7 linked regions of the Mus musculus genome follow. The protein of the gene in region 4 binds, or shares a complex with, the protein of the main gene of each other region. Links are inferred from orthologs where the notes say so. Each region holds a gene or a part of one and is shown on either strand. Other genes may lie near its edges. The genes, in order: Gpr4, Gpr174, Htr6, Gnas, Htr1a, Gpr12 and Fzd6.

What was found.
Region 1: the proteins of Gnas (region 4) and Gpr4 are in contact, whole or in part, in a cryo-EM structure (PDB 8Z9O), measured with the Homo sapiens proteins. The link is inferred for Mus musculus from reciprocal best matches to the Homo sapiens genes GNAS and GPR4. Residues at the interface, in NP_000507.1 of Homo sapiens: Gln31, Lys34, Gln35, Arg38, His41, Asp215, Lys216, Val217, Tyr358, Tyr360, Phe376, Arg380, Asp381, Ile383, Gln384, Arg385, His387, Leu388, Gln390, Tyr391, Glu392, Leu393, Leu394; in NP_005273.1 of Homo sapiens: Gln45, Arg49, Asn50, Leu52, Asp114, Arg115, Ala118, Val119, Ala120, His121, Pro122, Leu123, Arg124, Arg129, Arg130, Lys132, Tyr201, Ile204, Ala207, Val208, Gly210, Ser211, Val212, Ser213, Thr214, Glu218, Lys221, Ile222, Leu225, Asn290.
Region 2: the proteins of Gnas (region 4) and Gpr174 are in contact, whole or in part, in a cryo-EM structure (PDB 8IZB), measured with the Homo sapiens proteins. The link is inferred for Mus musculus from reciprocal best matches to the Homo sapiens genes GNAS and GPR174. Residues at the interface, in NP_000507.1 of Homo sapiens: Lys34, Gln35, Arg38, Ala39, His41, Val217, Phe219, Thr350, Asp354, Gly355, Tyr358, Cys359, Tyr360, Phe376, Cys379, Arg380, Asp381, Ile383, Gln384, Arg385, His387, Leu388, Arg389, Gln390, Tyr391, Glu392, Leu393, Leu394; in NP_115942.1 of Homo sapiens: Phe44, Tyr47, Arg53, Ala54, Val55, Ile56, Phe57, Met58, Ile112, Arg115, Arg116, Phe119, Leu120, Met121, Pro123, Phe124, Phe126, His127, Asp128, Cys129, Gln131, Ser211, Leu212, Asp214, Met218, Gln220, Asp221, Leu222, Glu224, Lys225.
Region 3: the proteins of Gnas (region 4) and Htr6 are in contact, whole or in part, in a cryo-EM structure (PDB 7YS6), measured with the Homo sapiens proteins. The link is inferred for Mus musculus from reciprocal best matches to the Homo sapiens genes GNAS and HTR6. Residues at the interface, in NP_000507.1 of Homo sapiens: Arg38, Ala39, His41, Asp215, Lys216, Val217, Phe219, Leu346, Thr350, Tyr358, Cys359, Phe376, Arg380, Asp381, Ile383, Gln384, Arg385, His387, Leu388, Arg389, Gln390, Tyr391, Glu392, Leu393, Leu394; in NP_000862.1 of Homo sapiens: Arg124, Leu127, Ile128, Pro131, Leu132, Arg133, Lys135, Leu136, Ile211, Gln218, Gln221, Val222, Leu225, Thr226, Lys265, Ala266, Thr269, Leu270, Phe323, Met324, Arg325, Asp326, Lys328.
Region 5: the proteins of Gnas (region 4) and Htr1a are in contact, whole or in part, in a cryo-EM structure (PDB 9GL2), measured with the Homo sapiens proteins. The link is inferred for Mus musculus from reciprocal best matches to the Homo sapiens genes GNAS and HTR1A. Residues at the interface, in NP_000507.1 of Homo sapiens: Ala39, Asp215, Lys216, Val217, Arg342, Arg347, Thr350, Ala351, Gly355, Tyr358, Phe376, Arg380, Asp381, Ile383, Gln384, Arg385, His387, Leu388, Arg389, Gln390, Tyr391, Glu392, Leu393, Leu394; in NP_000515.2 of Homo sapiens: Asn69, Ala71, Asp133, Arg134, Ala137, Ile138, Pro141, Ile142, Tyr144, Val145, Asn146, Arg148, Ile218, Ala222, Arg225, Ile226, Lys228, Thr229, Lys232, Val233, Asn325, Arg327, Asn328, Lys332, Arg339, Lys342, Thr343, Thr346, Leu347, Asn404.
Region 6: the proteins of Gnas (region 4) and Gpr12 are in contact, whole or in part, in a cryo-EM structure (PDB 7Y3G), measured with the Homo sapiens proteins. The link is inferred for Mus musculus from reciprocal best matches to the Homo sapiens genes GNAS and GPR12. Residues at the interface, in NP_000507.1 of Homo sapiens: Gln35, Arg38, Ala39, His41, Val217, Asp323, Asp343, Leu346, Arg347, Thr350, Tyr358, Cys359, Pro361, Phe376, Cys379, Arg380, Asp381, Ile383, Gln384, Arg385, His387, Leu388, Gln390, Tyr391, Glu392, Leu393, Leu394; in NP_005279.1 of Homo sapiens: Met79, Arg138, Ser141, Leu142, Tyr143, Ala145, Leu146, Tyr148, His149, Ser150, Glu151, Ile220, Ile223, Val224, Arg226, His227, Ala228, Gln230, Ile231, Gln234, His235, Phe237, Lys248, Gly249, Thr252, Leu253, Ile300, Arg304.
Region 7: the proteins of Gnas (region 4) and Fzd6 are in contact, whole or in part, in a cryo-EM structure (PDB 8JHB), measured with the Homo sapiens proteins. The link is inferred for Mus musculus from reciprocal best matches to the Homo sapiens genes GNAS and FZD6. Residues at the interface, in NP_000507.1 of Homo sapiens: Gln384, Leu388, Gln390, Tyr391, Glu392, Leu393, Leu394; in NP_001158087.1 of Homo sapiens: Arg226, Ala310, Lys314, Ser316, Cys317, Val396, Gln407, Lys409, Leu410, Phe413.

What each region holds. Positions count from the first base shown.
Region 1 is NC_000073.6:19,211,065-19,215,337, reverse strand, and holds the start of Gpr4 (G-protein coupled receptor 4), read right to left. Parts: upstream 2,801-4,273; 5' UTR 2,704-2,800; intron 1-2,703. UniProt on the Homo sapiens protein: Proton-sensing G-protein coupled receptor activated by extracellular pH, which is required to monitor pH changes and generate adaptive reactions. Activated by an optimal pH of 6.8-7.2.
Region 2 is NC_000086.7:107,290,378-107,293,877, reverse strand, and holds part of Gpr174 (probable G-protein coupled receptor 174), read right to left. Parts: intron 1,856-3,500; exon of another isoform or gene 1,820-1,855; 5' UTR 1,334-1,819; coding exon of another isoform or gene 1,295-1,333; coding exon 287-1,294; 3' UTR 1-286. UniProt on the Homo sapiens protein: G-protein-coupled receptor of lysophosphatidylserine (LysoPS) that plays different roles in immune response. Plays a negative role in regulatory T-cell accumulation and homeostasis.
Region 3 is NC_000070.6:139,059,206-139,062,388, forward strand, and holds the end of Htr6 (5-hydroxytryptamine receptor 6), read right to left. Parts: intron 3,028-3,183; coding exon 2,869-3,027; intron 2,659-2,868; coding exon 2,215-2,658; 3' UTR 501-2,214; downstream 1-500. UniProt on the Homo sapiens protein: G-protein coupled receptor for 5-hydroxytryptamine (serotonin), a biogenic hormone that functions as a neurotransmitter, a hormone and a mitogen. Also has a high affinity for tricyclic psychotropic drugs.
Region 4 is NC_000068.7:174,345,052-174,347,244, reverse strand, and holds the end of Gnas (protein GNAS), read right to left. Parts: intron 2,171-2,193; coding exon 2,116-2,170; intron 2,018-2,115; coding exon 1,944-2,017; intron 1,863-1,943; coding exon 1,683-1,862; intron 1,597-1,682; coding exon 1,466-1,596; intron 1,256-1,465; coding exon 1,188-1,255; intron 1,004-1,187; coding exon 857-1,003; 3' UTR 501-856; downstream 1-500. UniProt on the Homo sapiens protein: Guanine nucleotide-binding proteins (G proteins) function as transducers in numerous signaling pathways controlled by G protein-coupled receptors (GPCRs).
Region 5 is NC_000079.6:105,442,216-105,446,492, reverse strand, and holds the start of Htr1a (5-hydroxytryptamine receptor 1A), read right to left. Parts: upstream 2,801-4,277; 5' UTR 2,240-2,800; coding exon 974-2,239; 3' UTR 1-973. UniProt on the Homo sapiens protein: G-protein coupled receptor for 5-hydroxytryptamine (serotonin). Also functions as a receptor for various drugs and psychoactive substances.
Region 6 is NC_000071.6:146,582,440-146,586,673, forward strand, and holds the start of Gpr12 (G-protein coupled receptor 12), read right to left. Parts: upstream 2,801-4,234; 5' UTR 2,306-2,800; exon of another isoform or gene 2,296-2,305; intron 1,966-2,295; exon of another isoform or gene 1,687-1,965; 5' UTR 1,672-1,686; coding exon 667-1,671; 3' UTR 1-666. UniProt on the Homo sapiens protein: Promotes neurite outgrowth and blocks myelin inhibition in neurons. Receptor with constitutive G(s) signaling activity that stimulates cyclic AMP production.
Region 7 is NC_000081.6:39,004,821-39,009,079, forward strand, and holds the start of Fzd6 (frizzled-6 precursor), read left to right. Parts: upstream 1-1,459; 5' UTR 1,460-1,612; exon of another isoform or gene 1,613-2,249; intron 2,250-2,404; 5' UTR 2,405-2,566; coding exon 2,567-2,743; intron 2,744-4,259. UniProt on the Homo sapiens protein: Receptor for Wnt proteins.

The sequences.
Region 1 (4,273 bases), on a different chromosome or scaffold from region 4:
CAGTTTCCAATATTCCAGGCGTCTCCCGGCCCCAAGATTCTGAAGTTCTATTGTTAGAACCCTCTATGATTTCAGAAAAAAAAAGAAAAAAATAAAATAAAATAAAACACACGCTATGACTTTCATAATCTATTATTAAACCCTGGGTGATTTTTATCTTTTCCCAGCAAATGAATACACGTTTCCCTTTTCGCTCTTTGCCGAAATGAGAACGCTTTGTAAATAGGTGAACCCTACTTCCTCTTTCCCCCCACATTCCTGCTCTGACTTAAAATATTCTGAGGTGCTGAAGGTTCACAGAGTTGGGGGATCAGGATAGCTGATCGCTTGCCCCCCCAAATTATATTCTCCCCACCTCAGAAGGGACGAACCTAGAAACCCAGGCTGCTTCTGACCCCTTGCTCAGCGGTCTGGCCTCGTCCCTCCCTGTTCACACCAGCTGAGTTATTATTTGTCTAGACACAAACCAAATTATAGGCCCTGTCCCGGGGGAGCAGTGGGCTTTGAGGGGAGGGTCAGGAGACAGGGGTGGAGTTAATTCACTTGGCTTCTGTCTGTCTGTCTGTCTGTCTGAAACTCCTCCCCCTCAACCCCTCAGGCCAGGCCACCTCTGGTCCCTTTCTCTCTCCACCAGCAAGCCCTCAGAAATATCTTTTCTGCTTCGCTCTGCAAACCCTCCCTTCTGGTCTCCAGCCATTCATACCCAAGTCTGGCACAGCTCCCTACTCACTTAGCGGACCTCATTGCCCAAATTAATCCGACTTAGTGGTAGTGCAAGAATTCAGGTCTCCAGATATGGTCAAGGGAACCTAGGTCTCCGGATATGGGCTGCGGTTAGGCAAGAGTCCTAAGCCCTGAGGCTGGCGGTAACTTACTTCTGCTCTAAGTCCTCAGTTTCCCTGTGTGTAAAATGGAAGGGGCGTGGCCTGTGTGGTTCCCACAGGTGTTTTGTAGCACACAGCTGTGGGTAGCATAAACTTTCAAGATATCAGCACGCATATGCACAGATTAAAGGGCCAGAACATCAAAAGGGCCTTGGTTCTCTGTGCTTGTCAGGGTTTCAGCATTCCAGGTCCTATCTATCATTCAAAGACAGAAATTGGCCCAGGCTGGCCTTAGACTAAGATTCTCCTGCCTCAGCCTGAGCTACAGGCCTGTGCCACTACAAGAGTCTTTTGAGACAGCGTGTCATGTAGCCCAGGCTGGCCTGCAACTCCTAACCCTCCTGCCTCTCACCTTCCTAGTGCTGGGATAACAGTCAGGTACCGGCATGCCAGCCTCCAGGGCTCCCAGGTGGTCTGCGTTGGGAACCCTTGCCCATCTGACTCAGTAGCCATTCCTAGGAGAACCCCAAACCCCAAGTTGATCAAGTTCAACCTTAGAGACATGCTGGGAAGCCCTTTTGGTAGATTTCAGGGGGTGTAGCTAGTCGGAGGGTCTAGAAGGAGCGCCAAGGTGTTCCCCATCATTTACACTAGTGTCCCCAGTACGAATCCAGCTTGAGACACACACCACCACCACCACCACCACCACCACCACCACCACCACCACCACCAAAGCTTTGGGAATTCTGGAGCTTTGTCTTAGCCCGGTTGAGAAATGCTGCCCAGGAGTTCAGTTCCAGGGAAGGGGAGTAAGACAAAGCAGGAAGGAGTTAACAGAGACCCAGCCAAAATTCTGGAAGGGAGGAAGGAAGTCCATTCCCCCCCACCCCCACCCCCAGCCAGGAATTCCTGAGACAGGAGGGTGGGGTAGGTGTGACCTCAGAAGCCATGGGTGACTACAAAGTAGGTACTAGAGTCATGGTGTCACTCAGAGTCCATTTGCTCTGGATTGCAATCCCACTGTCCCCTACCCCAATCCTAAGCAGCCCCACAACCTTGAGGAAAAGGTTCCAGGATGTCTCAGGACGTAGGGAGAGTGATGGGGGCAGAGGCACTAAGAGCCAGAGAACCAGAAAAGAGAGGGTGGGAAGAGACACACTGAGATGGATATACAAAGTTGGGGTTTGTTTGAGTTGGGGACATACAAAGAAAAAAAGGAGGGGGTCTCACATAAACAAGGGAATGGAGGCCAAGGATGAGGTAGAAGGGATCCAGAGGCAGATGGGAAGAGCAGGTAGGGGACCCCAAAAGATAAAGAAATAGAGTCCATTGGGTTTGTTGCTGAAGAACACCTACAACATTTAAGGGGCTGAGGCAGGAGGATGGCCAGCCAGTTTAAGGTAAACCTGAACTGTACAGACAGAATCTGTCTATAAAACGCCAGAGGGTGGAGAGTCGGGTGTGGTGACATATACATGTAATCCCGGTATACTCTAGGAAACTGAGGCAGGAGGATTGCCGTGAATGTTAGGTCAATGTGGGCATGAGAGTGAGTTCAAAGATAGTTTATGGTATGCAGTGAGATCGAGTGTGTGTGTGTGTGTGTGTGTGTGTGTGTGTGTGCGCGCGCGCCCGCGAGACAGACAGAGAGAGAGAGAGAGAGAGAGAGAGAGAGAGAGAGAGAGAGAGAGAAATGAGAGAGACCCGGAGGCAGGGGATCTTAGGGACCCCAGGCTCAGGAGGGAGAAGCAGAAAAGATGAGTTCTCCAGAGCCGAGTGGCGGAGAGGGGTCGCTGCGGGGAGACTGAGGCAGCGGAGCGGCCACCCAGAGTCTTGGACCTGAGAAGGGGTAGAATGGGAACGGAGGGATAGCACCCACCTGCTCCGCGGCTGGGCTGGGCGACCGGCGTCTCTGACTTGGTCCCGACTCTGCACAGCACAGGGACCCGGCGGGCGCCCCCGCGGGGCAGGACAGCAGCGACAACCCCTGGCCCGGGGCTGGAGTCGGAACCCAGGCCCCGCCCCAGCCAGGCCCGCCCCCATTAACCCCTCCTCTGCCGCTCCCCTGCACCCCACCGCGTCCTCCCCCCCCACCTCAGGAACTCAAGCCTGGAAATCTCACCTGCTGCTTCAGGGGTACAATCCATTAACTCCTTCCTTACCCTCTCTCCAATTCCACACTTCGAATTTAAGCCTTCTTCTGGGAAAGGTAGCTTAGCTTGGGACCTTCCTTCCTGTTGCTTCCTTCTTTGAAGAGCCCCCTCCCTGCAGGCCTCTGTTAATAACCTTCTCCATATCCCTCTATCCCTCTAAGGGACCCAGAACAAAGGGGTTTGTCTCAGCAGACAGGCGATTGCTACTGATGCTGAACTCAATCCCCAGGACCCACACGATGGAAGGAGAGAATGGGATTGTGCAAGTTGTCCTCTGACCTCTGCATTGTCCGGTGCCATACACCTCAGATAGATAAATGTAAAGGAAAACATGTTACATGGTGGCCTCTTAAGTATCCACCTCAAGTCGAAGGAGCCTTGGGGGTCAGAGTTTAGGCCTTGCCTCTGTTTCTTCCACAGTCAAAGTAGTCAGACACAGTCCTTTTCTCAACCTGTCTCTTGTCACTTCACAGAGAGCATAATGTAAAATCTATTTTAAAAAAGTCTCGTTCTGGGGTACCTGTGCATGCCTGCACTCTCTCAGCACTTGAGAGGCTGGGACAGGAGGATAGCTGAGAGTTTTGAGGGCAAAGTGGGCTAATGAAGTTCTATCTTTAAAACGTTTCGACTTGGCTGTCCAGGACACCCTAGTCTGCCCTCTAAAAGTCTGATGTACCCATAGATCACTTCAACACCTCACTTTGCCAGGACTGTACGTTTCTATCCTTTCCTGATCATCAGCCTCCCTGCTGGCGGGAGGGCCATTCTTGAGTTCAGGTTGATTACTCTTGTGTGTCTGTTGCCTGGAAGTGAAATTCCCATTGTTTTCAGGAAGTGTGCAAAGGTTCCAAAGAGCCGCATTGCCCTCTTTTTATCTCGGTCGGTCACTTCCTGCACAAATTAGTCCTGAGAGGTCATTTATAGACTCAGGGACTTCTGATCCAACAGGAATACAGCCCTCCAAAAACAACAGCAGTGATGGTGTTTACAATTCTAGTTTACATAGTTATTTTATCTTGGCTGAGAAGATAGAACCTATGGCCTTACACACACTAGGCAAGAGCCACACCCCAGCCCTCACTGGGGAATTCTAGGCAGGGGCTCTCTCACTGAGCCACACCCCAGTGCCTCACTGGGGGATTCTAGGCAGGGACTCTACCACTGAGCCACACCCCAGCCCTCACTGGGGGATTCTAGGAAGGGCTCTGTTATTGAGTATACCACTCAGTATTGTGTTGGTTGTTTCAGACAAGATTTTATTATGTAACCCTGGCTGATTAGAGATTCAGAGAGGTC
Region 2 (3,500 bases), on a different chromosome or scaffold from region 4:
AAAGCTGATGACTCTAGCTGAGAGAATATGTGCGCAGTATTATCAAAATTTCACCATTTACGTCTTAAAGAGTTGGTCCAACATTACCGCATGGACATGTCACCAGCAATGATATTGAAATGCAATATTCTAAACAGGTATTGTCATAAATATGTGCATTCCCCATGTAAGTAATATAGACCACACTGAAAGGTTATGAATACTTCCTGTGAATACTGTCTTGATGAGGTACTGCAAATGTGTTCTGGTATTTGCATTCCAGGCCATGTTCAGTTCTGGGTTTTATTTAACATAGTTCAGCTGCCACGGTAGAAGTGGCATGGTTACTTGCAATTTTGTATGATTTTGTATGGAGTTGGATGTTATCAGGCAAATCTTGTCTTGAAAGGCGTCTTCTGAACTCATTAGTGGTAAAATAATATATAACTGGGTCAAGACAGGAGTTCAGGCTTGCCAGACACAGGGCCACAGAATGAAATATTAGAATCACTCTTCTGGCAAAGCAACTCTTAATTTCATTGGACTTAACCAGGAAATCTAAAGGAAAGCTGAAGTGATAAGGTACAAAGCAAACTAGAAACACCCCTGCACAGGTCAGAATCATCTTCAGGGCTTTCTTTTTCTCTCCAAGATGTTGAGAAATGGGATATTTATTTTGTAATGACAAAGCTGTCTTCCAGGTACAGTATAAAACAATCATAAGAGGAGTAACAAACCCAACCACCTCTCCGATAGTTATCATGGCAACAGATTGGGCCAGATTAACATTCCTGATAGGAAGATCCACAAAGCATTTGGTTCTGTTACCTGGAGTATCATCATTGGTTCTGAGGAGAGGAAAGAGCAGGCAGGCAAGGCAGATGATCAGCCAGCCAATAATGCTGATATACAAGTCATATTTCTGTTTGCAGTCATTGAAACGAAAGGGGTACATGAGAAACCAAAATCTTCGCACACTGATGCAGACCAAGAAGTAGATGCTGGCATACATGTTTACATATTTCAGGTAGAAACAAAACATGCAGAGACCAGGACCAAATGGCCAGTCATGGTTCAAGTAGTAAAAGATCCTCAGTGGCAGAGAGAGAATCTGTAATAAGTCAGCAATGGCTAGGTTTATCATAAATACCACAGCCCTTTTGGTTTCTTTCATATAGCCGTAAAATACCCATAAGGCTAATATGTTCCCTATAAGACCTGGCACAAGAATAACAGTGTATGTCACTGCATAAATGAAGTACCGGAAATCTGTATTGTCTCCATCTGTCTTGTTACATGTAAAATTATCAGTCATGATTATTTCCAAGAGAAATTTTCTTTGCCTACTGGTCATTCAAATTTAAATCCACAAGTAACTTCTGTACTGTCCACAAGTCAGTGGCTCAGAGAGACAGAGTATAAAACAAACTTTTGCCACAATTGTTAGCCTCTACACATGATTTGGGAAGTCTAAAAAAACCTGGCTGTATTTATGCCTCAGCTTTGTATACATAACCACAGAAATCCATTGTGCAAGCACACATGAAAAGTTGTTAAAATGTTCTTCTCTTGTTTATTTTGTGGTAAGGTCTTCCAGGCCAGGACATCATGGAAAGAGGATATTTCTCATTTGATTCATAACTATGTCATACATCAACTTCTCAAATTCCCATATGATGGTTATCACTTTACAGGTGTTTGGAAGGACGTTTCATGTTCTTTTGGGGAGAGACATCTGGCACACAGAGAAGAAAGGTTTGCTTCAGTGCAGGCTGGCTCAGCCACTGTTTGAAGATGACTTATTTTGATGGTTCTTTTTTTTCCCAAGACTTTTTCAGATCTGCATTAAAGAAGAGAGAGAGAATAAAAGGCAAACCTGCAAGTAAAAGAAAATAAACTTGTTACACCTAGCGTTTTTAAATAAGAAAAACTAGTGTTTAATGGTCACATCATATCCAGAAAACAACACTTCACAAAATTCCTCCCCATCATCTAGGTCTTAAATTCTTTACTCTTCTTATCCTTAATATTTCCTGAGCCTCACTTTTTTTTGGGTGATATCTAATTTTGCTTAGGGCTAAGAAGTCATAGTCACTTAGTCTTAGCATTTTGGTCAGTTAGGAGTCTCTGCATTAATTGCTTCCCACTGCAAAAAGAGGCTTTTCTAACCAAGGTTGAGAACATCACAGAGCTGTGGGTACAAACAAATATTTAGAAAGCATTTTAATATGATCATGTTTTAGCAAAACAACACAGTAGATTCTCCTCTAGGGCAGATGGCCTTTCTAGCCATAAGCTTTTGGTAAGGTTTACAGTGTCACTCACAAATTTCCTTCTATGGAACAGACCTTAAACCCAATCAGAATGTAGTTGTTTATCTCCCCAATCTTTGTGCCACTATTGCACCGTAGTGCATGTCTTCCCTACTCTATCCCCAGGTTAGTATTACAACATGGAGAAGACTATTAATGTCTTTTTCTTCCAGAGGCCTAATAGTATCACCCTCACAATAAAAACTGGCTAGCCAGGAAGAAGTTTCCAAGTCAGTTTAAAATTAATTCTTATATGTATTACAACCAAAATATGTGGTATCTTCAGCAATACTAGGATATGACCATCTAATTACAGTGGGCAACCACAAACAATAGCAGTAGCCTGACTTGTATTTTTCTTTGAGGGGGTGTTTCTCTGGAGATTCCCTAACCAATAACCCATCTGGAGGCTATCCTATATGTGAATTAAGATTCTTTTTGCAGTCATGAATTTATATGAAGCTAGGTTCACATGCTCAAGATTAATCCTATCAAAATTCCAGTATGAACAAGGCCTTGTCCCTAGATGTGGAATTACTGGCAGTTGATAACTGCTAGGGGGAGAGAAAATAATTTTCTTTGTTGGTATGGCTCCTGGTAGGTTTCCCACCCTCCAGTGTAAGCAGATTGCAATGGACTCAGTATATTATTTAAAAACGCAAAACAAAACAGAAGATGACAAATTTGTGAGGGAGCCATATCGGGAAGCCTGGATAAGGTGGAATGGAGTTGTGTATGTGTGTATGATCAAAATCCATTGTATATAGGAAAAATAAAAAATAAAGCACATGTATAAAAATATATTAGTATTAATAGAATTTTGATTTGAGTGGGGATTAATATGCTACAGGTTCTATAACAGCAGTTCTCAACCCACAGGTTACATCCTCTTTGGAGATCAAATGACCCTTTCACAGGGTTTGTCTGAGACCACAAGATAATGCAGATATTTATATTATGATCCATAACATTAGTAAAATTACAGTTATGAAGTAGCACCAAAAAACATTTGTGGCTGGGGGCTCACCACAGCATGAGGAACTATAAAAGTGTCACAGCGTTAGGAGGGTTGAAAACCAATGTTCTAGAAAGTGCAGAAAAGTAAAATGAGAAGGAACTTGAAAAATAATCCAGCACTTTGTTACAAAAAATGTCTAAGCCAACAAGAAGGGAGCCTGTTAGAAATTCAGAAGAATCTCAGCCCCTCCC
Region 3 (3,183 bases), on a different chromosome or scaffold from region 4:
TATGCTGGGGAAACTGGGCCTCTGTGTAATTAGGAAACCCACTGAAGGCTACGCAGATGATCAGAGATGGAATTGCTATCAAGTCTAGTCTCGGGACCTCTCACCTGAGCTCTAAGGCCTTGTGTCTGCATCTTTTCTGTTCCTCCCACCTCCCCTCGGTGGCAGGGACAGAAGTGGCCTGTCCCCATTGTGCATGTGGAGAAATAAGTCCCATGGAAGGCTGTGGGTGCCACAGTATTCAGAAACTCAGTGCCCCTCCATTCTGTGTCACTTATCCACTTTACAAACATATATGCCATTCATGCTACCTTTACTACAAACTACTGTGTCCCCATAGAAAAGTGACAGCGATTCATTGTGGGAGCTAGGGAGAGTGTCACAGAACATGCTAGGCACAAAATCAGATCAGAGCCCAGGACACTTGTGGTGGAGAGACCTTTACACAACTGTTTTCCAAGCACCTGGGGCTTCAGTAGGAGATAGTCCACCACACATCCACGTCCTTCAGCTTGTGTTTATTGAGTCCCTCAGGCAGGCCCAGTGGCAGAGAAAGCCGGAAGCACCAGAGCCTTGCTGCCAGGGCCCAGTTGAGCACGGTCAGCACCAAGGAGAGCTCCTGGCCATAGGGAGAGAGTCCGGGAGCCCGGGTCGCTGGAACACAGGCTCAAAGAAAGACCTGCAGCTGCTGAAGGGGAATTCAGTGTGGAGCAGCATGGAGTAAGGGAGTCCCCTGCCCTTACCCACAAATGCAAGCCCCGTGCCAAACCAGAGCCCACCTGCCTGTCTGTGGCTTCACCCCCAAGCCAGGGGCACACATCCCTCTTCAGCTGTATGCTGCCTACCCAAGCAGCTGTTCTTTCTTTCAGTGACCCTAGGAAGAACCAAAGGGGACAGGCAGGATGAGGGGCTGCTCTGCCTCCATCAGCTGGGGAAGCTGGGGTAGAGGAAACCCACACTTAAGGTTGTACAGGATCTGTCACCATCCCCTGGGCCTCTAGAGGCAGAAGAACAGGATGGGACTAGAAAGAGTCCCTGAGTGGTACAGTCTCCACCCAGCAAAGCAAGGAGGCTGGGAGCCCAATCTGGGCTGGAATAGACAATGGGGCTGAGATGTGGCCCCGTGGAGAGCGCTTGCCTAGTATATGTGAGGCTGACCTAACAGAAAACAGGAGGCCCTAGGGACACAGCTCCACTGGTAGAGTGCTTTCCCAGAATGCATGAAGCCCTGAGTTTCACCCCCAGCACCATATAATCTGGTGTGTGGTGTATCCCTGTGACCCCAGCACTTGGGAGGTAGAGGCAAGAGGATTACAAGTTCAGGGTCATCCTTGGCCACATAGGGAAACATGAGTTACTTGAGAGCCTAGAACAAATCAAAACAAAAGGAAGAGAGGGAGGGAGGGAGGGAGGGAGAGAGGGAGGGAAGGCTGGAAGAAGGAGGGAGGGACACTTGCTACCCTTCTACCAGAGCCAGAATCCGGCTAACCAAGAGTTAAAGCAATAGGATTTACCACCCACTGGCCCCTCACAGGTTCTGGGCATACCATCCACATTGTCTTACAGGTGGTATCACTCCTACTCTACCTTGAGACCTGTGCCAAGCCCAAGAAATGCAGCATACAGCTGAGGAAAAGGTCATATTTCTGGCTGCCCAGCCTCCAGCCTAAGCTACTTCTTAAAGTTGCCACCCCCCTCCTAGGGGCTGGCAGGTCTGAAAGTTCAGCAAAGGCAGACTTGGCAAAGCTCATGAACATACAATGTCGATTGAGCCCATCTCCAGAGGGGTGGGCACTTTGAATAAGCTCCCCAGAGCCTACAGGAACCCCAACAACCCAGAGATGGCACTTTGGATAACAGGATTGGGCCAGTCAGGAACTGGGGTGTCTAGAGGAATACGTTCTTCCCACTTAACAAAAAGGGCTGAGGACTGATTGCTTTCCTGCTGAACTGAACCAAATGGCACAGCTCCGAGACACTGCCCCCCACCCCCCGCCAGCCACACTACACAAACCACAAGCAACATTGTACTGGAATACCCTACGATGTTTCAGATTATCTCTCATGTCAAGGAGCCTTCAAGTAGAAGATGGGGGCTAGCCGAGGATCCCTCAGGACACTCGGCATGCTCTCGGGAGACCTACCACCTCCCACTCTTAGGGAGAATGGGCTGAGGCCTCTGGGAATGTGGCCTCCGCTGGCCAGCTCTTGACCTGGTCAGTTCATGGGGGAACCAAGTGGATGCTGCCGTATCTCAGGCTCCACAGAGTCTGTGACGAAGAAGTTGACCACAGTAGGGGCCCTGGTGGGTGGCGGGGGGTCCCGGGTCGCCTCTCCAGGCAGCAAAAGCTGGGCTGTGAGCTGCAGGCCCGAGGTGCCCCCTGAAGCTGAGTCTGAATCTGAGTTGGGTGGCAGAGGCAGGGGCAGCACCTGCTGCAGGCTGAGGCCTGGCCTGGCACCACTGTGAGAGGTCCACATGGAGGGGGAGGCGGGGCTGGCCCGGTGCTCCGGGGGACAGTGGACACACGGCACGAACCTGCCCAGGGCCCTCTTGAAGTCCCGCATGAAGAGGGGATAGATGATAGGGTTCATGGTGCTATTACAGTATCCCAGCCATGTGAGGACATCGAAGAGACCTGGAGAGATGCAGTCACATACGGCCTGTGGAGAGAAGACTTGTCACACTTTGTCCCAGGCAGGGACTCAGGCTACCCCACCCAGCAGGGACAGGACAGACACACAGACACAACTAGCACAGATGAGCCATCCTCCTCCCTCCCACCTTTGCCCAGTGAAGCATGGCATCTCTCTCTCTGGCCAGGCCTAGACTAATTCCATCTTCACTGTCTTTTTTTTTTTTTTTTTTTTTACCTGAGCTATGCTGGCCACAAAGAAGGGCAGCCAGGTGACAAAGAACATGCTCAGCAGGATGCCGAGGGTCAGGCTGGCCTTCAAGGCCTTCCTGCTATGCTTGGTGGTCAGACGCCTACTGTCAGCAGACTCCATCCCTGGGCGTGGTGTCCTGGGCACCTGTGGAAAGGAAAGCCATATAAGTTGGCTGATCTTAGTCACAGACTGAACCTCAACCCTAACACTAGACTGAGTCCTAGCATACCAGCAATTAACTGAGCCCTGATCCTTGACTGGTCCCCAGCTGAGGCACTAAGACCAAGTCCTAGAATACCA
Region 4 (2,193 bases):
TCATATGTTGGTCCCCCATGTGTCCCCCTTCTCATGCCCAAGCATATGTTGGGCCCCCATGCGTATGCCCCCATCTTATGCCCAATCATGTGTTAGGCCTCCCCACATGTGCCCCATCACATGCCCAATCATATGCCCAAAACTCTTAACTTAAATGTGCTTAATTAATTTTCACTAATTCATCTTGGAGTGGGAATGCTTTCAAATGTTTCCCAAATAACTCCCATCTCCCCCACCCATCACATCCCCAGCCTTCTCTGTAGGCTGCTTGCCTCATTCGGGGAAGTAATTGGTCAAAGGGCAGCTAGCAACTGCCTGGGGGCAGGATAATGGGTGGAAGCTTTGATGCGCCAAAAACTAGGTTCCCCCAGTCTATAGTGCCAACTCCTCAGCCCACTTTTAGCCCTGGGACCTGTTCTCCACCTCCCAGTGGGTGCCGAGACCAATCCCACCCATGGACCCTGGGACCCACTTGCCGCAAATCAAAGAGCAACACCGTATTTTGCTCATTTTTAATTTTTATTGATTTTTTAATGCTGCACAACACAATATTTATTTCATTTTGAATTTCATTTATTTCTTTATTTCTGTTGCTGCTTTTATTTTATTTACTGAAAGTGAGAGGGAACTTTTGTGGCCTTTTTTTTCTTTTTCTTCTGTAGGCCGCCTTAAGCTTACTAAATTTGGAACATCTAAGCAAGCTGAAGGGAAGAGGGGTTTTTCAGAATCACTGGGGGAAAAAGGAAAGGTTGCGGTGTTGATCATGCCCTATGGTGGGTGACCAACTGCTTGTACAATTACGTTTCACTCTTAATTAATTGTGCTTAAGGCTGAATTAAATTTGGGTGTTCCCTTCTTAGAGCAGCTCGTATTGGCGGAGATGCATGCGCTGGATGATGTCACGGCAGTCGTTGAAGACACGGCGGATGTTCTCAGTGTCCACGGCGCAGGTAAAGTGAGGGTAGCAGTAGTGGCGCCCATCTCCACTAGCAGTGCTGATTCTCTGTAGGCAGAGAGAGGGGCTCGGTCAAGCAACCCTCTCCAGGAGCCCCTCACCCCACCACCAGAGGACCAGCCATCAACTCATAGTACAATACAATGGAAGGCCTGGACCGCTCAGTCTCCAAATCCAGCACTGACTGGAGAATACTCGTGAGGAGGAGTAAGGGACTACAAGTCCTACTCACCAGAAACTCATCCCGAATGAAGTACTTGGCCCGGGTCACGCGTGGGTCCTCTCCCGGCTCGGGAGTCGCTACAAAAAAAAAAATTATTAATTATGCTAATTAGCTTAGAAGACCTAGTCTGACACCATTGTAGCTCATCACCCCCAAACTCTTGATCTCTGCCTATGAAAATGAGGGAAATAAATGTCCCTGGCTTCCCCATAGTGGGAGGGGCTAGGGACTCTCAGCCACACCTTGTGCCCAAGAACCACCTGACTAAACCAGCGCCATGACCGTACCATCCTCAGGAGTGGTGTAGCGAGCGAACTCTGGAAAGTAGTCCTCAATCTTCGATTTGCCAGCGAGGACTTTCTCAGCAAGCAGGTCTTGCTTGTTGAGGAAGAGAATCACAGAGATGGTGCGCAGCCATCTGAGGAGAGAGGGGCCAGGTGAGAGCTGGGGCCAGAGCAAGCTGCAGACCTACAGGTTGAGCCAAGTCAGGGAGACCCCACGCACCTGTTGTTCCAGATGCTCTTGAAGAGGTTCAGAGCCTCCTGCAGGCGGTTAGTCTGGTTGTCCTCCCGAATGACCATGTTGTAGCTGCTGCTGGCCACCACGAAGATGATGGCAGTCACATCATTGAAGCACTGGATCCACTTGCGGCGCTCATCGCGCTGGCCGCCCACATCGAACATGCTGGAACCGGAAAATACTGGGTTACCCTGGGCCCACCACTCTCCAGGCCAGATAGTTGGGGCGGGACAACGATTCACTTACTGGAAGTTGACTTTGTCCACCTGGAACTTGGTCTCAAAGATTCCAGAGGTCAGGACACGGCAGCGAAGCAGGTCCTAGAACAAAGAGGGGGGTCAGTAGGTCTCACCCTAATTGCCCGGAGAAGAACCAGCAACGTGGAACCCCAGGCTTGAGGACAGAGGCGCACGCGTACCTGGTCACTTGGCACGTAGTCGGCCTGCTTGATCACATCAATCTTGTCCAGGAAGCTTGAAAGAAAAGGAGACACGGT
Region 5 (4,277 bases), on a different chromosome or scaffold from region 4:
TGAGGTGAGCCATCCCGGGCATCTCAGCACCCTCAATGAGCCCTCCCTGGCCAGCAGTGGGCGCCTTCTGCAGTCCACAAGGCCTTTCCAGAACTTACAGAAAAGCCAACAAACTACAGGAATAAAACTCTTCCTTCCAAATAGTCTGATTGTCAATTTCTTTGGTGAGTGCTGACACCAGGACAGGAAAACATCCGCAGGCCTTCTTGGCTCTTCCTTTTGGGCCTGGCTTCTTGCTTATAAGTCCACTCCAGCAGACATCTTTGTCACTTGATTTTGAGTTAAAACAAACAAACAAACAAAATACAGAAAGTGGGTGCTGTGCATTGGGGAAAGGGATCTTTTGCTATTCAGCAAGGCAAACAATTCCAGGGCACCATAACCCAAAGTAGTTCCAACTTTCCCAGACCAGCCGTGAGTGCATGGAGACCAGAATCAGCAGTGTACATTGACACCCAAAGGGAACAGATGTTTCTAGAGCAAGAGGGAGGGAGAGACAGAGCAGTCTTGAACCTCAAAGTTCCAGATATAGGGCAGAGGGTGGCAGTCCTAGTGGGCATGGTAGATGTCCATACAGTTTATATTTTCTGTTTGGGTTTTCTTCCTTGAATCGCCGAGGTTTAAACTTCCATCGTGAAGAATTGGGATTTCGAATAGAGAGGAGGTTATTGCAACTATCAAAACTGATCCTAGGGCCAAAGACCGAGCCAATAATTTTACAAACAGATGCTAGGGGTTCTCTAAGATTTCTGCAAAAAGCACTGTCCCCTTAAAATGAGATAGAGAGAGAAGATCTGAAAGCCATGGGCTAAGAAGCTGCGTGTTCTAGGAAAAGCAAGTTTTCTTAGGTGTTGCTTCCAGGGCGGGGATATTGAGTGAACAGGAAGGGTCCTGTAAGCCCTACACTCTTCCTCCACTTCTTCCTTCTCCATCACCACCACTATTACCACCACTACCACCACCATCATCATCATCAGCGGCAGAACTTGCACTTGATGATCTTCTTAAAAGCGTTTTGAAAGTCTTTGTTGAAATAAGCATAAATAACTGGGTTGAGCAGGGAGTTGGAGTAGCCTAGCCAGTTAATTATGGCACCCAACAACTCAGGCATGTGGCAACTGCTCTCACAGAAAGGTAGGACCAGGGCCACAATGAAAAAGGGCAGCCAGCAGAGGATGAAGGTGCCCATGATGATGCCCAGTGTCTTCACTGTCTTCCTCTCACGGGCCAAGGCCATCTTGCGCTTTGCCTCAGCAGTGCGCTCATTTTTTCTCTCCAAGCAGGCGGGGACATAGGAGGTAGCTCCTGATTCGCTGGGCAGAGGAAGGTGCCCTTTGGAGTTGCCCACTCGATGCACCTCGATCACCTCCAGGGTGGCGTCGTCCTCACCCTGTCTCACCGCCCCATTAGCGCACGGAGTCCCCACCGCCCTGTTCTCAGCACTGCGCCTGCAGTCCCCACTACCTGGCTGACCATTCAGGCTCTTCTTGGGGGGCGGGGCCGACGATGTTCCGAAGCTGGTGCCCGCTCCCTTCTTTTCCACCTTCTTGACCGTCTTGCGGATTCGGAAGCGCGCGGCTCTGAAGATGCGCCCATAGAGGACCAGCATGAGCAGCAGCGGAATATAGAAAGCGCCGAAAGTGGAGTAGATGGTGTACCCGTGGTCCTTGCTGATGGTGCACTCGTTGGGGTTCGAGCGGTCTTCCGGGGTGCGCCAGCCCAGCATAGGCGGGATGGAGATGAGAAAGCCAATGAGCCAAGTGAGCGAGATCAGCGCAGCGGCGCGCCGGGGCGTCCTCTTGTTCACGTAGTCTATAGGGTCGGTGATTGCCCAGTACCTGTCTAGCGCGATGGCGCACAGGTGCAGGATGGACGAAGTGCAGCACAGCACATCCAGGGCGATAAACAGGTCACAGGTGACCTGACCCAGAGTCCACTTGTTGAGCACCTGGTACAGAGCAGCCATGGGCAGCACCAGCACTGACACCATGAGATCGGTGACCGCCAAGGAGCCGATGAGATAGTTGGCAACATTCTGAAGGGAGCGCTCCAGGGCGATGGCAGCAACCACGCAGGCATTGCCGAGCACCGCGCAGAAAATGAGCGTCCCCAGCAAAAGAGAGGTGATCACTTGGTAGCTGAAGGTCACGTTGGAGAGGCCAGTATCGTTGCCGCCTGTCCCGAAGGGCTCCAGGGACGTTGTGGTGTTGTTGCCCTGGCCAAGACTGAACATATCCATGCCTGCCTGCACTCCCGCTGGGGTGGGGGGAAGGGAGGGAAAAAGAAATGCAAGGGGATCTCCCTCGCCCCTCCCCCTAGGGTCTTCCTTCCTTTCTGGGGAGTTTCGAAGGGAGGGGATCTAGAGACTGGAGCGGGAAGTTCTTACTTGCTCTGGCGAAGGCATCTGAGAGGAGCACTCACCGGCGCTCTCTTGCTTGGCTCCCGCGGGTCCTGAGCGCTCAGAGGCTCCAGCTAGGAAACTGTAGTTGGGCTGAAAGCATCTTCCAAATCTCTGGGTGCTGGAGAGATGGCTGTAATATCTGTCTCGCGCTGTCCATTTCACTTTGTCGCTGTCCAACTGGCTGCGTGGGGGCCGGACTCTCCCGAGTAACTAATAGTCTCAGAAGTCTCTGGATTCCAGAAACCCCATCCTCCCGGGTCACTCGATGACCCTCATCTCCTAGTTCCTTCTCTCTGTCTCTCCATCTCTCCTGCCTTCTCCAGTCTGCTTCTCTTTTCCCAGCTTCCTTCTCCCGGCTTCCTCCCACTGGCCTTCCCTTCCAGTTCCCCTTTCCTTCTCACCTCTCTTTCTTTAGTCCTGTGTGTCGCTCAGACAGCTAGTCTCCCTTCCTCCCACGTTAACCCCCACCGCCATCCAACACTTCCCTAGTCCCGAGTGCCTCCTTCTTCTGGGTCCCCGCCCTCCTCTCCCTGTAGCCAGGAGTCTTTACATTCCAGTCCACACCACACTCAGAATTCACTTCATATATCTACTCTGATCTGCTAGTCAGATCAATGTTTTAACATACTAAACCCCGCCTCTTACCTATTAAACTAGAGGGGGAAAAAAGACAAAAGGAAAAAATAAAATAAAAGAAAGAGATAGAAAGATATATTTCCCCACCGCAGATCCCCTTTATTTCTGTCAGCTTCTTAAATAGAGCCAGGTTCACAGTGTGGCTATCAGGCACGAGGAAAACCCTCAGAGACTCTGAAGGATGGGAAGCTGAGTCGACCACCTTCTAAACTCTACCCTCTACATTATCAGGTAGAGAATGTGGGTCTCAGCTTCTTAAGAAACAGGTTCATTTACCATATTAACCTATCACTGGTGCCTGTGACCTTTTCATATTATCCTTGTGTATTGGAGGGAAATTAGAAAGGACAGGTTGGAGGACAGGATCTGAAAACAGTCTAATCTCAAAGAAAACATTAAAAATTCACTTAAGTGTGTATTCCAAACACACACTCTTCAGTCACTCTCTTCATATCAATGATATTAACATTTCCCATAGATTTGAAGCAAATAAATTCATGGAAAGAAATTGTTTGCCTGTATATTGTTAACAATGGCTTTCTTTTTCTACTGGTCTTTGGACTTATGTCTCTCTCACTGGAGTCTGCAGCCCTCCAGGGAACTTAGTGGCATCCCTGTCTCCAGCAACTGCGAGTCTCTCTGAAATTGGGTTCAGCACCCGGGACAGCTCTGTGTAGTAAGAGCTTGCTTATGCCGCCACCTTCCGGCAAGTGCTTCAGAGCGCCATTTAGAAATATTTGTCATTAAAAAATTAAGTAAGTATTAAGGAAACCCAAAGACTCTACGATATCTATTTACAACCAATGTATCAAAACCCAATCTGTGAACCTATACTTCCAAAAATATTTGTAGTAGCAAATTACTACTTATGAAGTAGCAACGAAAATAATATCATGGTTGGGGAGCACTGCACAACATGAGGAACTGTGCTAAAGGATCACAGCATTAGGAAGGCTAGAATATTATAAAATAAATAAAATCCTTAAATGTCACTTTAAATTTTTTCTTCAACCATTTCTTTTCTCTTTCTTTCCCTTGGGTTTTTATACCAAGCCAAGTATATTTTCTAGCTCCCTTTGAAAGCTTATGACATCTATCATTCACAAAAATCTATAGGAACAGTGGCAGAAAACACTTTCAGCTACTTATGTTGTGGTGCAGCAGCTTGTGTTATTAGAACTCAAGTGTTTTATTATGGGATGGTGACAGTATTACCTTTTGCATAAAGAAATAATTTGAT
Region 6 (4,234 bases), on a different chromosome or scaffold from region 4:
AATATTGCAATTAGTGATCTGACTACCACAGGTAACCATGCATACCAAACTGTAACACAGAGAAACTGCAAAGTGATTCTTAAGAGCAGTCACTACTGCTGAAAGGAAAGAAAGGAGTTCGCGCCTCTGTTACTGGTCACTTATTACTGAATTCCTAGAAATAAACACAAGCCCTTCCAAATGTAATTATATAAACTATTTTGGTTATATGGCAAAGCTCCTATCCTGTTAGATACATACAGAATGGAAGATCTACCTTGATTAAAAAAAAAAAAGTATTTCCTTCAGAAAAAGTATTTCCTTCTCCAGTTTCCTTTAAAACTTTGATTTATTTTCAAGCCTAGGTTAAAAAATCCCGAGACTTTTGTATAATTTCATGGCCACATGAGGTCCCATTACACCCTCCAAACAAACAAACAAGCAAACAAACAAACAAATCCTAACTCCCAAACCAAACAACAGAATGCTGAGCCGAGAAGTCGAGTTTTGTTTTGTTTTTTTTTTAAAAAACACTGGTAAGATGATTTCCACTGTCAATACGTGTCTAAAAGATGTCATTGCTTCTGCTTGTGAGATCCAGTGCAAAGAATTTAAGGAAGGAAATCACTGGCCGCCCTGGGAGGTGGGAGCGCTTGGTAGAGGCAGCGTCCTATGAGGAGAAGGCTGCTACACATCGCTGGGAGACCGAGCTCTCTGAGACAGCGAGGAAGGGATGCACCCACAGCAAATGAGGCAGAGGGCTTTCTGGATCTCTTGGTTTCTGAAAGCGTAAATGACAGGGTTGATGATGGAATTGTAGGTGGCGGGCAGGAGGGTGGCATAGGTATAGATCGAAGGGTAGGTGTAATCGGCGATCAAGGAATAGAGGGTGAAAGGCATCCAGCAGGCAGCAAAGGTCCCTAGGATGAGAGCCAGGGTCGAGACCCCTTTCCGGGTAGTCACATAGTGCGATGTAGCCAGGAAGTGGTGCTGCAGGGCTATCTGATGGGCGTGCCTCATCACAATCTTACAAATCTGGATGTAGAGCTGAAGCATCAGAGCAAACATGAAGAGGAAGGAGATGGAGAGGATGGCAGCGTTGTTCTTAGTGAGAGGTCTGACCACGCTGCAGGTGGACTCGTCCCTCAAGCAGTTCCAGCCCATGACGGGCAGCAGCCCCAGGCAGATGGAGGTTCCCCAGAGCATCACTAGCATGACATAGGTAAAGGTGACGGTCCTCTCGGAGTGGTACGTCAGGGCGTAATATAGCGAGAGGTAGCGGTCCACAGTAATAGCCAGCAAACTGCAGACAGAGGCAGAGAAAGAGGCGACAATGAGTCCGATGGTGACCAGCTTGGTGGCTTCTGACTGAAGCAGGTACGCAAAAACAAAATTGATGATGAGTCCCAGGCCAGCCAGCAGGTCTGCAAGAGCCAGGCTGCCTATCAGTAGGAACATGGGGGCTCGCAGGCTGGGGCTGTGGAAGATGATAAGGACCACAACGGCATTTTCACAGCAGATGAGGGTTCCTGAGCTGCACAAGACAATGTCCCAGGGGTTGACAACGAGCTCGGGTTCTGACTCCGCAACAGAGCCCTGGGAGGGGACAGCGGCTGAGATGTTCTCTGGAGCACCGGCATCTATACAGTCCCGAGGCAGCCCGCTTAAATTGACCTTCGGGTCTTCGTTCATTTTAACCCCTGTCCTCTTCAACGGAAAGACAGGCTTTTTAATGTTTGGGTACAGTAGGGTGCCAATCCAAGATCATGCAAAACACACAGAGAAAGACAGACAACCCTGGGCTCAGCTATCAGTGTCAAAATGCCACGAGCTTCAGGAATTAAAAACAAAAGCTAAAGTCTGCAACCGAAATGCTGTTTGTCTCTGAGGGAAACACGGATCAGGACTCCCGAGGCGGCACATGCACACTCGCACACTTGCCAAAACGCTGAAAACCGACATTGGCTAATTGCATCTCCCATGCCGAAAACCAACAACTGTTTGACATCTGGGCTGCTGAGAGAGCACCGCCCAGCAGCCACAAGTCTGCAGGAGGGTGGAATATTTTAAGGGCCCCAAACTCCCACCCTTCCCAAACATACCTCACGCGCGAGCACACCCCCAAACACACCTCCAGACTCAAACAAAGGGGTGGGGTCCCAGTCTCTCCCATGTGCACCGCTCAGAGTGCAAGGGCTACAAAAAAGGTAGGTGTGTACCACAGAGGTGCCCAGACAGACAGAGAGAAAGATATGCATGCATTTGGCACCGCTCCCCTAGCAGCGGGGACGCGCAGCCTGCGGGGCAGGGGGTTACCGGGGGTCACCTTGGCACGCCCTGGCCGAGGGGTGGCTCCTTCAGTGCTGCCGAATAGCTCGGGCCACCCGCGTGGCACGTCCGTGGTGGCGCCCGCGGCAGGTGAGCTGCGGTGCTCGCGCCCGGCTCTCCGCCCTCCGCGCTCCCCGCCGGGCGCGCATCCGCGGGAACCCCACGAGGCTGCGCGCGCCCCCGCAGGTCGCAGCTGCGTGAGGGGCGGGAGCCCGCCACCGTGGACGCCCGCCTGCAACAGTCATGCGAAGACCCACTCGAACGGCCGGAGAGTCTGGCGACCTACTTTGATCCTGTGGCTTCCCCGAGGCGCCCTTGACCCTGGGGCTCGGCTTCTTATGCTTTCCCCTAAAGAATTGTAAACGGCCGGGTTTTCGGGATGAACAGGAGGAATGCGGGGTAAGCAGGTTAGGGCTGGCGGAGGAGACTTACAACAGCAAGCGACTCCCTCTCTTAGATTGCAGTTGGCCGGTCTGCAAATTATTGTTCCCTTGGGGACGTTCGCTTAACTGGATAGGAGCTGCTGCTACTTAGATCGCCCAGCTGCACTTATTAGGCACTCTCGGAGCCGTTCGCGAGTGGAAATCATTTAGGGCATTCTTGCAAAAGCTTCCTTCAGGCACTGGCCCAAACCCAATTCATTTAAGTACCCAAGTGACACTTATTAATTTATTGTTTCCTGTACCTCATCCGCGGAGTCTAGGGTTAAGATCCTGAAGGTTGCCTGCCGGAAAAGGACTAGCCTGTGTCTCTCATCCTGGAACCGGATCAGATCTTAAATTTAATCACGCTCTCCAGCCTAAAGGTGGGAGGAGAAAAGTCCTATTTCCGTGTGACCTCAATGTTGTGCAAGGCAAAGGATCCTGAGGACCCTTCATATGGGGTTATCATCAGATGCATCTGCCTCCCCTGTGTCTCACTGAAATTCCTACTCCAGCCTACCAGGCTCCAAGTCTTAGATCTCTTTTTACCCCATGTTCCCCCACCCCAGCCCCAGCCCCGCGCGCATCCATCAGCAGCTGTCTCTACCGTGTCATGCTCCTGGTACCAAAACCCTCCCTTCACCTCCCTGGTTACAACCTTCCTCTAGCCGCCCCTTCCCCCTTTCTCACTAAGGCAACACACTAAACCCGGTGTGACCTTGCCATAATGCAGCAGATCCGTTCCGCCCAACCTGAGCTCTCACACTGCTTCTGAACTCTCTCCCTGGACATTCTGCTTTGGGACACGTGGAGCTGTTGAGTTTTCTGCTGAGTCTTCTCATGTCCCCCAAAAGGCTCCAGGACTCTTTCTGAGTCCTGTATTCCCTGCGGCAACACTTCTGAAACTTGACTTAGAAACCAGCAGTTCTGGGGTTGGGGTCCCGGCGTCAGTCCCAAGATGCTGGTGATGCCGACCTGCGGGTCACACTTTAAGAAACGAGGTTCTATGGAGTTTAATAGTCGTGTGTATGGAAAGGAGACATCACTTGCGTCAAGGACCGTTTGAAAGCCTGCGTGAACAAATTCACGAAGACATTATCTTAGCACTCACAGACACACCCTGGACCAGTGGTAAGACAAAAATCAACATTATCCCAGGTAGCAGGTACTGCTGTGAAGGGATGCTCCTGTCTCTTTTCATTTCTTTGTAATAAGCGGAAGCATTTTTAGAACAGAGCAATGGGAAATGAGCAATGTGGGGCTGGAGAGGTGGCTCAGTGGTTACATGCTCTGACTGCTCTTGCAGTGGACCTGGGTTCAGTTCCAGGCGCGTATAAGGTGACTCACAACCATCTGCAACTCCAGTTCCAGGGAATACGACGCCCTCTTCTGGCCTCCTGGAGCATTACATGCACAAGGTACACACAATACAAGCAAACACTTAATATACATAAAATAAACAGGTTGTTTAAAAAAAAAGCGGTCAATGGTTTCATATACACAAA
Region 7 (4,259 bases), on a different chromosome or scaffold from region 4:
TTCAACCAACAGCTCTCACTTTGTATTCCAGGCTGACATTCAGTTCGCTCTGAAACCTCGGTTGGTCTTGAATTTGAGATCCTTCTGTCTTGGCCTTTCAAGTACTGCAATTCCAGGCCTGTGCCACCACACTCAGCTGAGATATATTCCTTCTATATAGAAACTTAACATTTTTCTGAGAAATATTCTTCCCACGTAGAAGGTTAATTTTCTACATAGAAAACATCTTACATAGAAACCCATTTTTCAATACATAAACTGTCTGACTTTTAATAATATTAAGATTAAGACAATTAGTATTAACATTTCTTTAACATGGTCTCGTCCTTTACAGTTGTCCTAAGCTTTTTTTTGTTTAGTTTTGTTTTCAAGGCAGGGTTTCTCTGTGTAGCCTAGCTGTCTGGGAACTCAAAGGTCTGCCTGCTTCTGCCTCCTGAGTGCTGGGACTGAAGATGTGTGCAACCATGACCGGCTTGTCCTAAGTTTTTTGATAAAGCTGGGAAAGAGTTCTCCAAAATTCATCTCTAGTTGATGTTTCCAGATTTCAAATCTTGTCTGGTTATTCGGTGGTGTCCCAAGTACTGAAATGTGACATTTTTCAGCAGCACAGTGATTCAGCTAACAGCAGTCTCCATTTAAAAGTTATTTTACAGGCTGGGACTGTAGCTTAACATAGTAGGCATGCTAGTACCAGTATGCACAAGACCCTGGGTTCTATCCCCATTAGGAACAAGAAGAAGAAGAAAAGAGGAAGAAGAGGAGGAGGAGGAAAGAAGAAGAAAGAAGAAGAAGAAGAAGAAGAAGAAGAAGAAGAAGAAAAAGAAGAAGAAGAAGAAGAAAGAAAGAAAGAAAGAAAGAAGAGAAGACACTTTGTGTTTGCCAACAAGTTCCTTTGTACCTCATACCAGAGTCCTACATATCAGGCATTATTGAATGTAAAGGACTCAAAAATTAGTAACCATTCTTGTATTCATTTATCATGTCTACATAGAGAGGACTCTACACATCCCCACGCCCCTTTTTGGTAATTTATCTGAAGTGATGGTGGCAGAGCTGGTTCTCAAAACCACGTTGACTAAAGCAGTTAACTTTCTGTGGGGCTTTTGCAGCAGTAAAGCTGTAGAACCGGCCGAAGCTGGCACCTGCCGTTCAAGGTGGTGGCCAGACTCCCCGAGTTAATAGGCTTTTCAGCCAAGAACTCAGGAAGTTCCTCGCTAACTCTGATCTCAGCTACCACTCACTACAGAGCAGATCCCCGCGGCTAAGGCTCCTCGCTTCCAGAACGGAAAGTGTGCTCTGCAGGGCACTTCCCCAACGGCCTGGGTCTCACGCCTGGGTCCGCGGTGCGAGCGGAGGCGACAGCTCGGCGGCCCCCGCACCGCGGCCGGCTGGGCTGGGCGGGGCGCAGGGCCGGTCCCGCCGCCGCGAGCCCCAACCTGCCCGCCCGACCTGGCGGCGCAGTCTCGCGGGATCGCCCAGCTCTCGCTCCCCGTTGCGGCCCCGGAGGCGGTCGAGGCCCGGACGCTGCCCCCCACCGAAAGCTCGCCCCGGCTGTCTGGGGTGGCGGGGCCGCGCGACGCCGAGGGACAGCCACCTTCCTCTGCCGCCCGAGGTGAGGCGTCCCCGGCCCGACGGGGCGGGCGGGCAGCGGCCGGGATCGGAGCCGCAGGTGCGTCGCCTCGGAGTCCCACGCAACTCCTGGAAAGTGACTCTGGGTCCCCGCAGGCCGGGGACGGAGCTGCTCGGCTGCAGGCCGGGAACAGGTGCCCGACGCGGGACCCCGGGGGCTCAGGGGAGCCTCCCGCAGTCCCCATGAGCTGACCGTGGAAGGTTTGCGCTGGGTGGAATTCGGGGTACAGGGGGCACGGGGTGAGCGCGTTGAAGGGGAAAGTGCTGGAGGTGAAGAAGCGCAAAGGAGTCACCACCCAGGCCCACTCTTCCTAGGGGGACCTCGCTCAACCCCAGCAGACTGATTTTCGCCTTTGCGAAAACAGGAAAGGCACATCCGCAGAAGTCTGCGATTGTAGAGAGAGCTAAAGTTGAAGAACTCTGTCTGGGTCACTTGTCCTCATTTTCCCCATATAGTGAGATGGCCAAGGGGCCCCTAGACCCCCTTTCTTCTAACCACCATCACCCCTTTCCTCGCTCCAACTTGCTTATGCCGTGCCTCCTCTTACCCGGTGTTTTAGACAGTATAACCCTTCATCAGCAGTTCCCTAGAATTGAGGCTTCCTTAGCAAAGTGATACATCCGCGCCCGGGCAGGTGGATATGTCTCTTGCTAGGATGGAATTTTCCACATTTTTTTCTTTCTTTGTAGCATTAGTTACCTAGCATGACATTTGACTTGGATTTGACTTTGTGACGAATGTTACTGATAACACACTTTGGGTTTGTTTTTACAGCAGTTGCCCCAGAATTCATTTTCAGGAAACAGCTTCTATCAAAATGGTACAAAGAATGCAATGAGGAATTTGTACATTTTATCTCTGATTTGAGAATCTTTTTGATGCGGAAAGGAGCATAAGAATAATCCAAGCCATGTGGTAAAATCGGAGTCTGGCAAGATGGAAAGGTCCCCGTTTCTGTTGGCGTGCATTCTTCTGCCCCTCGTAAGAGGACACAGCCTTTTCACCTGTGAGCCAATCACCGTTCCCAGATGTATGAAAATGACTTACAACATGACGTTCTTCCCTAACCTGATGGGTCATTATGACCAGGGGATCGCTGCTGTGGAAATGGGGGTGAGTGGATTTTCATGCCTATATTGAAAATTAGTTTATACGTAGTATTTTTCTCTTAACTATTACTTTTTAATCTTTAAACATAGTTTTTTTCCCAATCATATTTTTTAAAGTAGTTTTGAACATTAAGTTCCCCTCCTCCCGCTGTCATATTTTGTCTACAGTTGGACGGTTAGTTAATTTGCTTATAAAAAGGTTGCATTCATAATGAAGGGTGCTTACAGATAATAAAAATATTTTGCTTTTTTGAATTTGTGTCATTGCTTCTCCAAGACTGTGATTTCTGAATTTTTAAATTTTTAATATTTATTTGTTTGTTTGATTTTTCAAGATAAGGGTTCTTCTCTGTGTAGTCCTGGCTGTCCTGGAACTCACTCTCTAGACCAGGCTGGCCTCAAAACTCAGAGATCCACCGGCCTCTGCTGGGATGTGTGCGCTACCACGCTCGGCCCCAAATTCTGAATTTTTTTAATGGTTGACTGAACATATAATCTATATTGCTTGAGCTAAAATGAAACTTAAATGTTTTTTAAAAGTACTTGTCAAATTCATTTGACTTAGTTTTCCCAAAGCTAATAAATTATTGGAATGTTTTGGCGCTAAAGAGAATGTTTTACTAAAAGGTGACTTTCAGGCATAGCATGTAAGTGTTTTCTTTATATAAGATACTTGCTAAAAGAAAGTCCACTTGTAGGGCGAAGGGCAGTGTGACACTAACAATCGCCTCAGGCGCCTCAGTTACCTGACTCTGGTTTAGAGATATGAAAATGTCCCAGGAGGTGTGGGAAGAAAGAGCTGCCTGTAGAGACAGGAACCTGCCACACAGATCTGCTGGGTTGATAAGTTTCATGAAGAAAAAAAAGACAAGGGTATAGGTTTTGTAATCTTTCCCTAAAAAAGCTGAAGCCAGTAAAGGTTTTTTCCTCAGGTTGTCTCTGAGAGACGAAACTCCTAGAAATATAATCTAGAGAGGGGTTTTAAACTTAACTGTATTTGATCTTGCAGCTTTGAAGGTCTTCCTTTGTCTGCTGGAATAGTTAGTTGTCTGACTACCTCTTTGTAGACAGACTCCTGTCTGGGTTGGGTGGTTTTTAAATACTAAGATATAATTTTAAAAGATGTACAAGTTATAGTGTTTTAATCTTTGAGTAGTTTTTCCCAACTAGTGCAAAACCCCCCTCTTTTTTACCAGATGGGTGGGGCACTGAGGACTGAGCACTGAGCCTCTCAAATACTGCAAGGTCTCGCCCACTCAGCTACATCCTCAGCCCTGCAAGGCGTTCTGTTGAACACTCTACAAAGAATACAGGGAGACTTCCATTGATAAATCAGACCCATAAGTGTATAGTGGATATCATCACGCAATAATTACATTGTTCAGTCTGGCCGCCTCTGATGATAATGTTTTTTAATACATGCTTTAGTAAGGGTTCAGAAAGCATTTTATTTTAATCTGGTTTCCTCTCTTTATAGTAGCTACATACATTTTAGGTTTGAATGCTGACAGTGACCTTAG